3 linked regions of the Arabidopsis thaliana genome follow. The protein of the gene in region 1 purifies or fractionates together with the protein of each later gene. This does not show direct contact. Each region holds a gene or a part of one and is shown on either strand. Other genes may lie near its edges.

Region 1 (5,389 bases):
ATCTCAAGAAAACAGAATCTTCTTTTCAAGCTCTGAGCAATGGCAAAATCTAAACCACTCATCTATAGAGAGACTATACACAACCAAATAAAAAATCTGCAATTTTTGTGGTGTAAAAAACAATAATCATGTCATTTTCATATAAGAAACTCTATGTTTCTTAATCTTATTTCTTTGTTTGAGTCAAGTAGAAAAAGACATGAATAATGTTGAATCAAGACTTTATCTTTACCGTTAAAAGAGACGGACCCACTTTGCCGCCGTCAAATTTAAAAAATGCAAAAGATTTGTCTTTTACTTTCTTTCTTCATCAACGGCTCTCTGATCCACAGTAGCCGGAGAAAAAGCAGAGAGCTCAAATTGTCGGAATTAAGAATCCCCAAATCACATCTTCAAGAACCCTAATAAATTCCCAGAGATTCCTCTCATTTAATCACTTCAGATTCGAAAAAAGTTCTCTCTTTTTCCCAAAAAAAACTTTCTCATACAATGGACTCTACTACCACACCTCCTTCTCTCCGTTCGAATACTAGATCCGCTTTGCGTCTAGCTCGAAACAACAAAACTCTCGTAAAATCTCACATTCCATCTCTCGATTTGGTTTTATTGTCTCCGAAGAACAACAACGGTACTCCTTACCCATCACCTGTTTCTCTCAGTTCACCATCTTCTCCTGTTACTCTTCGTGAGATTCTCCTTTTATCTCCTTCCCCTCTTCGTAAATCGAGAACCCGTTTAAGCAATCGGTTCGATATGGAAGCTGCGGAGGCTGCTGTGACGGCACGACGGAGTAAGACGAAGGGAGGGCAAAATGGTCTTTTGGCCTCGCCGTCGCCGAGGAATTTCCGGAGGTCGAGACTAAGGTCGGAGGCGATGGTAGATACAAAGGAAAATACGGAGCCAATTGTTGTCGTGACCGATGAAAAGAAACAAAACCAGAGGAAACAGAAGAAGTTGGGTCGATCTAAGAAGGAGAAGCACAGTTCTGTTCCTCTGTTAGCTTCTCCTAGTCCATCTTCAGATCAACGTATGTCCTTCCTCTGTCTATTAGCTCATTCGATTTCACTTTCGTGCTCTAATAATTGCTCAATGATTTGTGTAATTCAGCTCAAGATGTTTGTCAAGGTGATTTAGAGCGGATTAGAGAGAATATAAGCGATTTGATTATGTGGAGAGATGTTGCGAAATCAACACTTTGGTTTGGTTTTGGCTGTATATGTTTCCTATCTACTTGCTTTGCTGCTAAAGGATTTAACTTTAGGTAACATTGATTTCTCTGTCAAGGTTTATCTTTCTAGCTTTAATCATTTTTCACATTCATGAGTTGATAATGAAACTTTGTGTGGTTTGAAGTGTTTTCTCAGCGATCTCCTATCTTGGACTTTTGTTTCTTGGGGTATCGTTCTTGTCAAATACTCTTCGCCAAAGGTACAAACTTTTAAGGTCCCAGTACATAAATATCAGCTTGAACTGCAGTTGACTGAAGTTTTGATCCATTTGTTACCATAAAGGGTTACTGAAGAAGCGCGGAGAGAGCTTAAATTGAGTGAAGATGATGTATTACGAATAGCTAGACGAATGCTTCCCATCACCAATTTAGCAATTTCAAAGACGAGTGAGCTTTTCTCTGGTGAACCAGCAATGACACTCAAAGTAGAATTTACAAAACTTTGCCATTCTCATAAAACTTCTCTCCAATGAATGTGACTCTCACGTTGATTTTGTCCTTCTTACACTGTTTTTACTTTGATTTCAGGTGGCACCTTTTGTTCTAATGGGAGCTGAGTATGGTTACCTCATAACATTGTGGAGATTATGTGCTTTTGGTATGATTGTTGAAACACTATATGTCAACATTACTCCAAAGAAAGCTAAACTGTTTTCTTTAGTTGTATCTAGTAGAATTGACACAGAGTATGCATTGTTTCTTTAAACAGGTTTCTTCCTTAGCTTCACTATTCCAAAGCTATATTCATGTTACGCAAGTCAGCTTAACCAAAAAGGTAAACTCTATTAACAGACTGCGTAGCTCTTTGATGGTTCCAATGATTGACACTAAGGATTCTTTGATCTTTGCTTATGTGTAGTTGAGTGTGCACAAAGGAGATTTGTTGAAGCTTGGGGAGTTTGCACACACAAGAAATTCGTAGCAGGCTCTGCAGTTACTGCATTCTGGAATCTAACTTCTCTCAAGACCCGTTTTATTGCAGTGTTTATCATAGTAGTAGTAATCAGATACAGACGACAGAATCTACAGTTAGATTCCGAGGATGAGGAGGAGAAGAAGCAACAAGAAAAAACTCACCCGGAGCAACAAAAATCGCCGGAGGATAAGTCAACTTCACCGCGGTCAGCAGAAGAAGAGCAAGCGTTGGTGCTAGTTGCAGAAACCAAAGCACCAAAGAAGCTTTATTAGTCTAGTCACTAGTGTCTTTTCAGTATCCACCTGTGTAATAATATTTCACATTTACGTAATAATAAATAAAGAGCAGTCATTAATATCAAATAATAAATTGACACGTGACAAGCTCATGAAACTGTGAGAAGCAGGTGATAAAAACTCTCGTCCGTCTTGGGAGAGAGCACATCGTCGTCTTTTCTTTATAAACCCTAAATTCCCATTTCTCTTCTCCAAAAGTTTTATCGATTCCACCAAATTAGGGCGAACGCGAAATCTGGGTATTGTAATTTGAAGCGATGGCGACGACTGGAACTGCTGCGGTTGCGACGGGAACTTCGACGGTGAAGAGAAAACCGGTGTTTGTGAAGGTGGAACAGCTAAAGCCTGGAACGACTGGTCACACGTTGACTGTTAAAGTCATTGAGGCTAATATCGTGGTTCCTGTTACCCGGAAGACTCGTCCAGCGAGTTCTCTGAGTCGTCCTTCTCAGCCTAGTCGAATCGTTGAGTGTCTCATCGGTGACGAAACTGGGTGTATCCTCTTCACTGCTCGTAACGATCAAGGTTATTGTTTCTCCACTTTTCTCTTGCTTTATGGATATAGAAATGGTGTCTTCGTAGTTTATTAGAGTGATAAGTCTTATCCTTTGTTGTTCTCTCGTTTGTCTTAATCAATTTCTATTTTGAGCAAATGGTAAATGTGTTTCTATTAGTACTATTTGGTAAATGATGTATCAGTTATTGTATGTGTATTTAGTGATGTCTTTGTGAAATTGAAGCTTGAAAGAATCTTGGCCTTGAGGGTCTGTAACTCTGTATAGTCTTACCTATAGTGATGATGAAACTTGCTTGGTTAGATGTTGAGTTATGTTCAATTGAATGGTCTACATTATCCCAAAACTTTCATAGCTTTTCATAATGTGAAGTTTTGTTATACCAGTTTTCGTGCAATTGATGTGGCTACTGATTAGCTCTAATGATGTTATTGGTTTTTTTTGTGTGTGTGTGTGTGTGTATAGTTGATCTTATGAAGCCGGGTGCTACGGTGATACTGCGCAATTCAAGGATAGACATGTTCAAGGGTACAATGAGGCTAGGAGTTGATAAATGGGGACGCATCGAAGCCACTGGAGCCGCGTCTTTCACTGTCAAGGAGGATAACAATCTGTCTCTCGTTGAGTATGAACTGATCAATGTTGGTGGTGATCAGTGATCTTTTAGTATGTTTATGGAGGTTAACCCCTGAGAGTGTTGGGTTCTGATTTTTCTACCGTGAAGGTCTTTGATTTAGATGATGAAGATTGTATGACTGGTCCAGAGTTGCTTGTAGGAATATGCTTCTTCTTTTTTACCCTAAAATATGCGGTCATGATCTTGCTCTGGAGAACTATTGAGCCTGCGGTAATGGCGTAATGCAATTGTTCCTTTTAATTTGTGTTGATGTAAGTTAAAGACCATTGAGAGCTTGCTTGTGCACTATCTAATACAGTAAAAATAAGTTTTTCTTTCTTAAACTTTACTAATGTCTTTGTTTTTTCATTAATTACTATTTGATGTACACTATTGTACCCTCTCGGTTACAGAGAGTTTTGCCCAACTTTTTACATCGAAAGCATCTCATCCTTGATTAATGTCATTGTTAAGACAAATTGTAAGTGCATAAAATTCATCGACGGATCATAGAACCATTGTCTAGTTAAGTCGGTCTAATTCCAAACTTTATAAATCTTTGAAATCAGAATGTTACTTTGAAGATCAGCTTTGTAACACCAAAAACGAATAGTTAATGAACACAATACGTAGTGAAGAGAAAAAAGAAAACGAAATGGGTAATAACTTAATGGCATAAAGAAAGGCTTACAACACAGCAAAAATGTTCATGTTCCTAATCTTACCCTCACTATACCAATACAATCCTCTCCACGTATCATCATCCTTGAAAGGAACAAACGGAGAAAGAGTAGAGTCACTCCACTTCTTTGATGATCTTTCTTTTGCGCAGAGGTGCTGTGACCACTGTTCCTGGAGCACTGTGAGCTTTCCTTCGTGCTTCTTTTCTTCTCTTCGAATCGTTCACAGTTCGAATGATACCCATCGCTTTGTATATTGGTTTTGGCAAGTGCCTGTGTCTGTAATTCACAATAACCAAAACGTTACCATGTTACTATAGTTATCTTTTGACAATCTCCAGAGTTAAAGCATGGGATAAAACCACAGTTTTCATTGGTCATTTACCTCACAATGCGCTTAACCTCAGAAAGATGCTTGTACCGGTTCTTCACAGCCTCGTTGTACTCATGCTTCTTTTGTTCCCTTGGAAGAATCTGCAGCACAACACACCAATTAACATTGACAATTCACCGTTCCAAGTTAAAACTTCTTAAGAAAGCATGTACGAGTAATATCTCATAATCATATGCACTATTGGATCAACTGCTAAGCCTGTGGTAACTCTTTTTTGGTCTTTATTTTGTATAAATTCACAGAATCTTACAACTCCCAATTGCTCTGATGCCTTTGCCTTCCATAGCCTGAGATTGGTGTCATCACTGCCCGATATTACATATGTAGCATCACAGCTATATTTGACACAGAATACTCTACAAGAAAAAAGAAATGAAATTTAGAAATTGCTTAGACTAAATCAAATTACCAAGGTGGTACACTAGAACATCTGAACTTGAAGTATATATAGACTGTTCAGTAGATTGTACCTCTGCATCCTCTTTGTATGGTAGATTTCCCTGCTGTGTCCTCCATTGTATGGGAAGATTCTCACAGATCGATCATAAGAACCCGTAACAAACTCACGACCAGTCGGTGAAAAGTCAATATCCATCCTGAAAAATGATGAAATTAGATAATCATAATGCATTTGGATGATATCTTGTTAAATATTATAGCTGATACTTGAGATAAATCATTCTTCATTCTTACACTGCAGAAACATGATCTTTATGCACGCACTTGGCTTCGTCCAACTTTCTA
Region 2 (3,423 bases), on another chromosome or scaffold:
CGAGGACTATTGGGTAAAATCAAGGTTGCCTCATGCAACAATTTTCAAGCCTACTCAACCATATAAACGCTTAGTGGGTGAAACATTCAAGGAGTTTCCTCAGCCAGCTTTAGCCCTTCTTGAAACTCTCCTTTCAGTCAATCCTGACGATCGTGGAACTGCCACTGCAGCTCTCAAGAGTGAGGTACTGGCATTACTCAGGCAGTAAAAGCTGTGTGTTCTTATGCGTCTGTATTTCCTGGTAATCGCTTTTGTAACATCAAATTATCATTCTTTTATTTTCAGTTCTTCTCCACCAGACCTCTTCCATGTGATCCTTCAAGCTTGCCTAAATATCCTCCCAGCAAAGAGCTCGATGCAAGAATGCGGGATGAGGAAAGTAGAAGGTATGCCATCCAGATTTTCTAGTCTGATGTGACTTTTATCCTGCAATGCTCTTACGATAGCATAGTATCATTAACGCAAAAAGAAATATTTATAGAAATGCTTTAATCTAGTTCCTGTTTTTGTAGACAAGTTGGAGGAAACAGGGACCAAAGACACCAAGAAAGAAGAGGAACTAAGGAATCTCGAGCCATCCCAGCCCCTGACGCAAATGCAGAGCTGGTTGCATCAATGCAGGTTAAAAAATCTTAAAAAATCTATTTCTTTCGATGTTAAAGCTTTTTGCTTTTATTCAACGTTTTTGACCCTCTCGCATTTATGTCATTGCAGAAAAGGCAGAGCCAGTCTACTAATAGAAGTCGAAGCGAGAAGTTTAATCCACATCCTGAAGAAGTTGCATCCGGTTTCCCAATCGATCCACCAAGGCCGTCATCACAAGCATTTGAACCAAACAGAGAATCTCAGGGCAATATAATTCCTCACAAGAGAGCTTCACATTCTGGTCCTCTATCACGTAGATCTGCTTCCGCAAAGGGTAGACGGAATTACCAAGATTCTCAAAAGGTTTCATCCATAGCTGATTACTCAGCAATGCCTGGTTTTGCCGCAACAAGAACAGGCGCACCACAACAAGAGACTTGCAGAGGAATGACTCGGCTTCCAGGTTCATTCAAGGAAACGTCTGAAGAAGCAAACCAGGAAGAGAATGGTCGAAGCAACAAGAAAGACCCTATTCTCGTAAGTTCCCTAAACGTCCCTCCTTTGCTAATTTTAGAAGACTAGCAATGTTAATATTCTGAGTTGTATGGTTTGGTTTGCAGTTGGGTTATGGATCAAAAGGGCACAAGATTCATTACTCAGGACCGTTAGTGGTTCCATCAGGAAACATGGATCAAGTGTTGAAAGACCATGACCGACATATCCAAGAAGCTGTGAGAAGAGCACGAATCGATAAGGCTCGAGTCAAGAAACTTCAAGCTGACGAAGCTTCGAGCCAACAAGTCGCAACCAATCATCCCTCATCTGTTTCTAGCCGTTGATCCATCAGTGAGGCAAAAGTAAATGATCAAACCGAACCTCATTTGCCTGAAACCTTTTAACACGGCGTATTTTGAGTGAAAAATAATTGTATTTTATTGATTCAAAGATTATATATCATCATAGAATCAAATCTTTTCACGTTTTAGCTTCCCTGTAATGTGATATTATTTTATTATAAGAAAGCTGTAGAAACAGAGTTATATATCATAATTTAGAAAATGTTCCAAAAGTTGAACTTTTTAATTTGTGACTTTTTATGAAATTTACCAAGAAAGGTGTTACGAGATCTTTACTTGTGAAAAATAAATGATCTTGTCGAGTCAAACTTTGTTGGCTCTCTTTCACTATATAAATCTTGTTATCCTCTTATACTTTCCATATCCAAGAAAAAAATAAACAGAATTGCAGATCAAAACACTCTGTTTCATTCCTCTGTTTTTTGCTCTGTTTTGCTCTCACGCCATAACGTGTTCTGCTTACAGTTTCGACTTCATTTACTTCGGAAATGGAACTGATCTGATGACATTCCATGGAGACGCCGAGTACGCTTCAGAGCCTGATGGTATGAGCAAGTCAGGAGCAATTGGATTGAGCCGTGACAATGTCCCATTCTCTCATGGTCGAGCCATTTTCATCAATCCAGTCCCTTTTAAGCCTAGTTCTACTTCTTCCTCTGTCTACTCTTTCAAAACTTCTTTCTATTTCGTCATTAGTCCTCGCCCGAAAAATCCTAATCCCGGTCATGGCCTCGCCTTTATCATCGTCCCCAACGATAGAAACGACTCCGCTTCTGGTTTAGGCTATCTCAGTCTTGTGAACCGGTTTAGCAACGGTAATCCCAAGAACCATCTCTTTGCGGTTGAGTTTGATGTTTTTAAAGACAAGTCTCTTGGCGACATTAACGATAACCATATCGGAATCAACAATAATTCGGTTAATTCAACGGTATCTAAGAAGGCCGGTTATTGGTATCAATCAAAAATCGAAGGAAAAAACCGGTGGTTGTTCAAGGAATTGAAGCTAAGTGGAAACGGATACAGGGCTTGGATTGAGTACGAGAACGGGAAAGTGACAGTCACGATCGGACGTTCACAAGAAAAACCGAAGAGGCCATTGATCGAAGCACGAGTCGATCTTTCTAAGGTTTTTCTCGAGAAAATGTATGTCGGTTTTGCCGGTTCAATGGGACGTGGCGTCGAGCGTCACGAGATCTTGGACTGGAGTTTTGAGAACAGTGCCAAAGACTAATAAACCGGTTTGCTTCAGCTTTGTTTATGTCAAAGTTGTTACTGGTTTTGCAGCTTCGTTTTCTGTCGTGAATCTCGTGATGCTAAGGCTAGTGATAGTTGAAGGCTAATAAATGCTTATGTTATGGCCTAACGTGCCATGTATCTACTTTCAGATTTCTAGAAAGATTTACAATAAAGGATCCATTTCCATAGTAAGAACTATTAGATATCGTAATCTTCTATGAGACGGTAAATTGCTGAAAAACCAGTAAGGCATGTGCCTATGTAGGCTTCAACATAGATCCTTTCCTGCAACGATCTATGTCAAGAATTAACTACAAATATTCGTCATTTGAAACATATTCTCACACAATACGTTTCATTGAGTGAAACTCGGTATACAAACTTAATCACACCATGAAAATAGACTACTCTCCACACACAAAAAAAATGTACCAGTAAGGAAATTTGAACACATACGTATGACATCCAACCATATCATGATACTTCTTTATCATCAAGTCGGGTAAGCCCTATTTCGCCTGATTTGGCTCTCATCTCAAAATTTCTCCGACCTTTTTCTGGACGAGTCGTCTCGTCTTCTTTCCCTTTTTGTAACCTCATTGCAAGTTTGCAACAACAAAAACAATCCAATGATTACTTCATTGCATGGTTTAAACAAAAACAATCCAATAATATATATACATATTTTATCAATAAAGTATATTTATAAGTTAGGTTGATTTTTTTAATATATTTTTTTTTTATT
Region 3 (3,552 bases), on another chromosome or scaffold:
GTTTGATGTTTTTAAAGACAAGTCTCTTGGCGACATTAACGATAACCATATCGGAATCAACAATAATTCGGTTAATTCAACGGTATCTAAGAAGGCCGGTTATTGGTATCAATCAAAAATCGAAGGAAAAAACCGGTGGTTGTTCAAGGAATTGAAGCTAAGTGGAAACGGATACAGGGCTTGGATTGAGTACGAGAACGGGAAAGTGACAGTCACGATCGGACGTTCACAAGAAAAACCGAAGAGGCCATTGATCGAAGCACGAGTCGATCTTTCTAAGGTTTTTCTCGAGAAAATGTATGTCGGTTTTGCCGGTTCAATGGGACGTGGCGTCGAGCGTCACGAGATCTTGGACTGGAGTTTTGAGAACAGTGCCAAAGACTAATAAACCGGTTTGCTTCAGCTTTGTTTATGTCAAAGTTGTTACTGGTTTTGCAGCTTCGTTTTCTGTCGTGAATCTCGTGATGCTAAGGCTAGTGATAGTTGAAGGCTAATAAATGCTTATGTTATGGCCTAACGTGCCATGTATCTACTTTCAGATTTCTAGAAAGATTTACAATAAAGGATCCATTTCCATAGTAAGAACTATTAGATATCGTAATCTTCTATGAGACGGTAAATTGCTGAAAAACCAGTAAGGCATGTGCCTATGTAGGCTTCAACATAGATCCTTTCCTGCAACGATCTATGTCAAGAATTAACTACAAATATTCGTCATTTGAAACATATTCTCACACAATACGTTTCATTGAGTGAAACTCGGTATACAAACTTAATCACACCATGAAAATAGACTACTCTCCACACACAAAAAAAATGTACCAGTAAGGAAATTTGAACACATACGTATGACATCCAACCATATCATGATACTTCTTTATCATCAAGTCGGGTAAGCCCTATTTCGCCTGATTTGGCTCTCATCTCAAAATTTCTCCGACCTTTTTCTGGACGAGTCGTCTCGTCTTCTTTCCCTTTTTGTAACCTCATTGCAAGTTTGCAACAACAAAAACAATCCAATGATTACTTCATTGCATGGTTTAAACAAAAACAATCCAATAATATATATACATATTTTATCAATAAAGTATATTTATAAGTTAGGTTGATTTTTTTAATATATTTTTTTTTTATTTTTTTATTTTATATTATTTACTAAGACATTCTATTTTGGTTTAAAAACTTTAGAACTAAATGGTGATGATTTAAAAGTTAAATGGAGTGATTTAAAAGTAAACAAATGTTTCTTTAGTATCAAACTTTGTTAATTTTTAGGTCATAATCAAATTGAATGACATTAAAGAAAAATCTAACCATTTAATATACATATATACACATAATGGAAATTGTTAATTTGGTGATAATAAGAGAAGTTAAAAATACATGATTTGGTAACTCTATATATTTGAAAAAAATTTAAATGTGTTTGGTAAATGACTAAATGGTTTAAAGAGAATGAGGATAAAGAAAAATGTGTTTGACAAATTGATAGTTATAACAAAATAATTAAATAGTAAAAAAGCTGAGAGAAAAAATGTGGGATTGTCACATAAGCACTAAAAACTTTTAATATATAAAGGACACATAGTATATTGTTAATTAAGAAAAATTTGGTTTTGGTATAACTTAATGAAATATGATAGATTTGATCATGAATGTGGACTAACTTATATCTTTCCTAACCTATATATTAGGACAGACTAACTTATATACATATATAAGTTTATTCAATCAATACTAGTTTTAATTTCCTCCTATACACTCATAACGTTTTTGTTTTCAGCATTGTGGGCACAGAAAAAGTAGAACCATTTTGTGCACTTTCGAGAACAGCTTTTGTCATCTAATGCCATAATTCAAATTCTTTGTCTCTCTTCTCTCTCAATTATTTTAAGTCTTCTCGATCTTTTCAACACTCACATCTTTTAAAGTTCACCACTTTCACTTCCCAAATTCCCAAAAACAGAACTAAAAAATGAAGATCCAAATACTCTGTTTCACCACTCTGTTCTTAGCTATCTTCACCTCTCAAGTCACCACTGCTTACAAATTCAAATTCGATTACTTTGGTAACGGCACCGATCCAATATCATTCCATGGAGACGCTGAGTATGGTCCTGACACTGATGGCAAGAGCCGGTCCGGAGCCATCGCATTGACTCGAGACAACATTCCTTTCTCTCATGGTCGAGCCATTTTCACCACTCCAATCACTTTCAAGCCTAATGCTTCAGCTCTTTACCCTTTTAAAACCTCTTTCACTTTCTCCATTACTCCTAAAACAAACCCTAATCAAGGTCATGGCCTTGCTTTCATCGTCGTCCCAAGTAACCAAAACGACGCCGGTTCCGGTTTAGGCTATCTCAGTCTTCTGAACCGAACCAATAACGGTAATCCTAATAACCACCTCTTTGCCGTTGAGTTCGATGTCTTTCAAGACAAATCTCTTGGCGACATGAACGATAACCATGTCGGAATCGATATTAATTCGGTTGATTCGGTGGTTTCTGTGAAATCCGGTTATTGGGTTATGACAAGAAGCGGTTGGTTATTTAAGGATTTGAAGCTAAGTAGTGGAGATAGATACAAGGCTTGGATTGAGTACAACAACAATTATAAAGTAGTCTCTGTTACGATTGGTTTAGCGCATTTGAAGAAACCGAACCGGCCATTGATTGAAGCAAAATTCGATCTTTCCAAGGTCATACACGAGGTAATGTATACCGGTTTTGCTGGTTCGATGGGTCGTGGTGTCGAGCGTCACGAGATTTGGGACTGGACTTTCCAGAATTAAGAAAACAGGTTTGGTTTGGTTCGAGATCATCGGTTTTCTTTTGGTTTATGTTTCTGGTTTACCCTGGTGTGCCTTCAGCTTGTGATAATTGAAGTGAAATAATTGCTCATTTTATGTCTTACCGACAATTTGATGTATTATTGTTGTCAGATTAGTAGAAATCAAGGACGTTTCGTTCCTAATCTTTTATGTTAGTCACTTTTAAATTACATTTCTCGTTGACAAAAAAAGAAAAAATGATTTTACATTCTATCAAAATTGGCCAACATGACTAGATGAGAATCAGATTTATAGGAGAAATGTGGAGATCGTAGTTATGGGACTATCAAAATAGTCTAAAACATCTTAACATGTTTACCGGAAAAAAAGAGTCTACTACCAACTATGTTGTTTTGTGGAAGACTTTTAAAGAGGAAATGTTACATGCCAAGTGGATTATAACACTCCATGATGCGACTTGGAAAATGAGAGATCTAGGAACGAAGGAAAGGAGGACTTGATGAATTGTCGGAAAGTTGTCTCGTTTCTTTCAGATTATGTTGTAAAAGTGTGATAGAGATGAATGCTCTTTGAGATTATATATCGTGGTTGTATATACGCTCTTTCTCATATCTATTTCGTATTCTCCCTCTTTCAGTGAGATATTTTTTTAGTGTTTTTGCTTTATCCAATTGAAGAGTGTGTCCTCGTTGTCGAGGCTTGGACAGACAGCATCTCATAATTTTACCTACGACGATGTGATTTGACTACAATCATCA

The links.
Region 2: the proteins of AT4G28440 (region 1) and AT1G53060 fractionate together in Arabidopsis thaliana (co-fractionation; one large-scale study listed by BioGRID). This does not show direct contact.
Region 3: the proteins of AT4G28440 (region 1) and AT1G53070 fractionate together in Arabidopsis thaliana (co-fractionation; one large-scale study listed by BioGRID). This does not show direct contact.

Annotation. Positions count from the first base shown.
Region 1 is NC_003075.7:14,057,357-14,062,745, forward strand, and holds AT4G28440 (Nucleic acid-binding, OB-fold-like protein), read left to right. Parts: upstream 1-2,539; 5' UTR 2,540-2,697; coding exon 2,698-2,965; intron 2,966-3,420; coding exon 3,421-3,614; 3' UTR 3,615-4,030; downstream 4,031-5,389. Other genes in the region: AT4G28420 (Tyrosine transaminase family protein), read left to right, coding at 1-53; AT4G28430 (Reticulon family protein), read left to right, coding at 490-1,027, 1,108-1,261, 1,354-1,428, 1,512-1,653, 1,757-1,826, 1,938-2,003, 2,088-2,416; AT4G28450 (WD repeat and SOF domain-containing protein 1), read right to left, coding at 4,368-4,530, 4,637-4,725, 4,896-5,001, 5,116-5,241, 5,339-5,389.
Region 2 is NC_003070.9:19,774,108-19,777,530, forward strand, and holds AT1G53060 (Legume lectin family protein), read left to right. Parts: upstream 1-1,815; 5' UTR 1,816-1,944; coding exon 1,945-2,673; 3' UTR 2,674-2,923; downstream 2,924-3,423. Other genes in the region: AT1G53050 (Protein kinase superfamily protein), read left to right, coding at 1-184, 286-386, 513-621, 715-1,122, 1,206-1,424.
Region 3 is NC_003070.9:19,776,396-19,779,947, forward strand, and holds AT1G53070 (Legume lectin family protein), read left to right. Parts: upstream 1-1,737; 5' UTR 1,738-1,975; coding exon 1,976-2,794; 3' UTR 2,795-3,052; downstream 3,053-3,552. Other genes in the region: AT1G53060 (Legume lectin family protein), read left to right, coding at 1-385.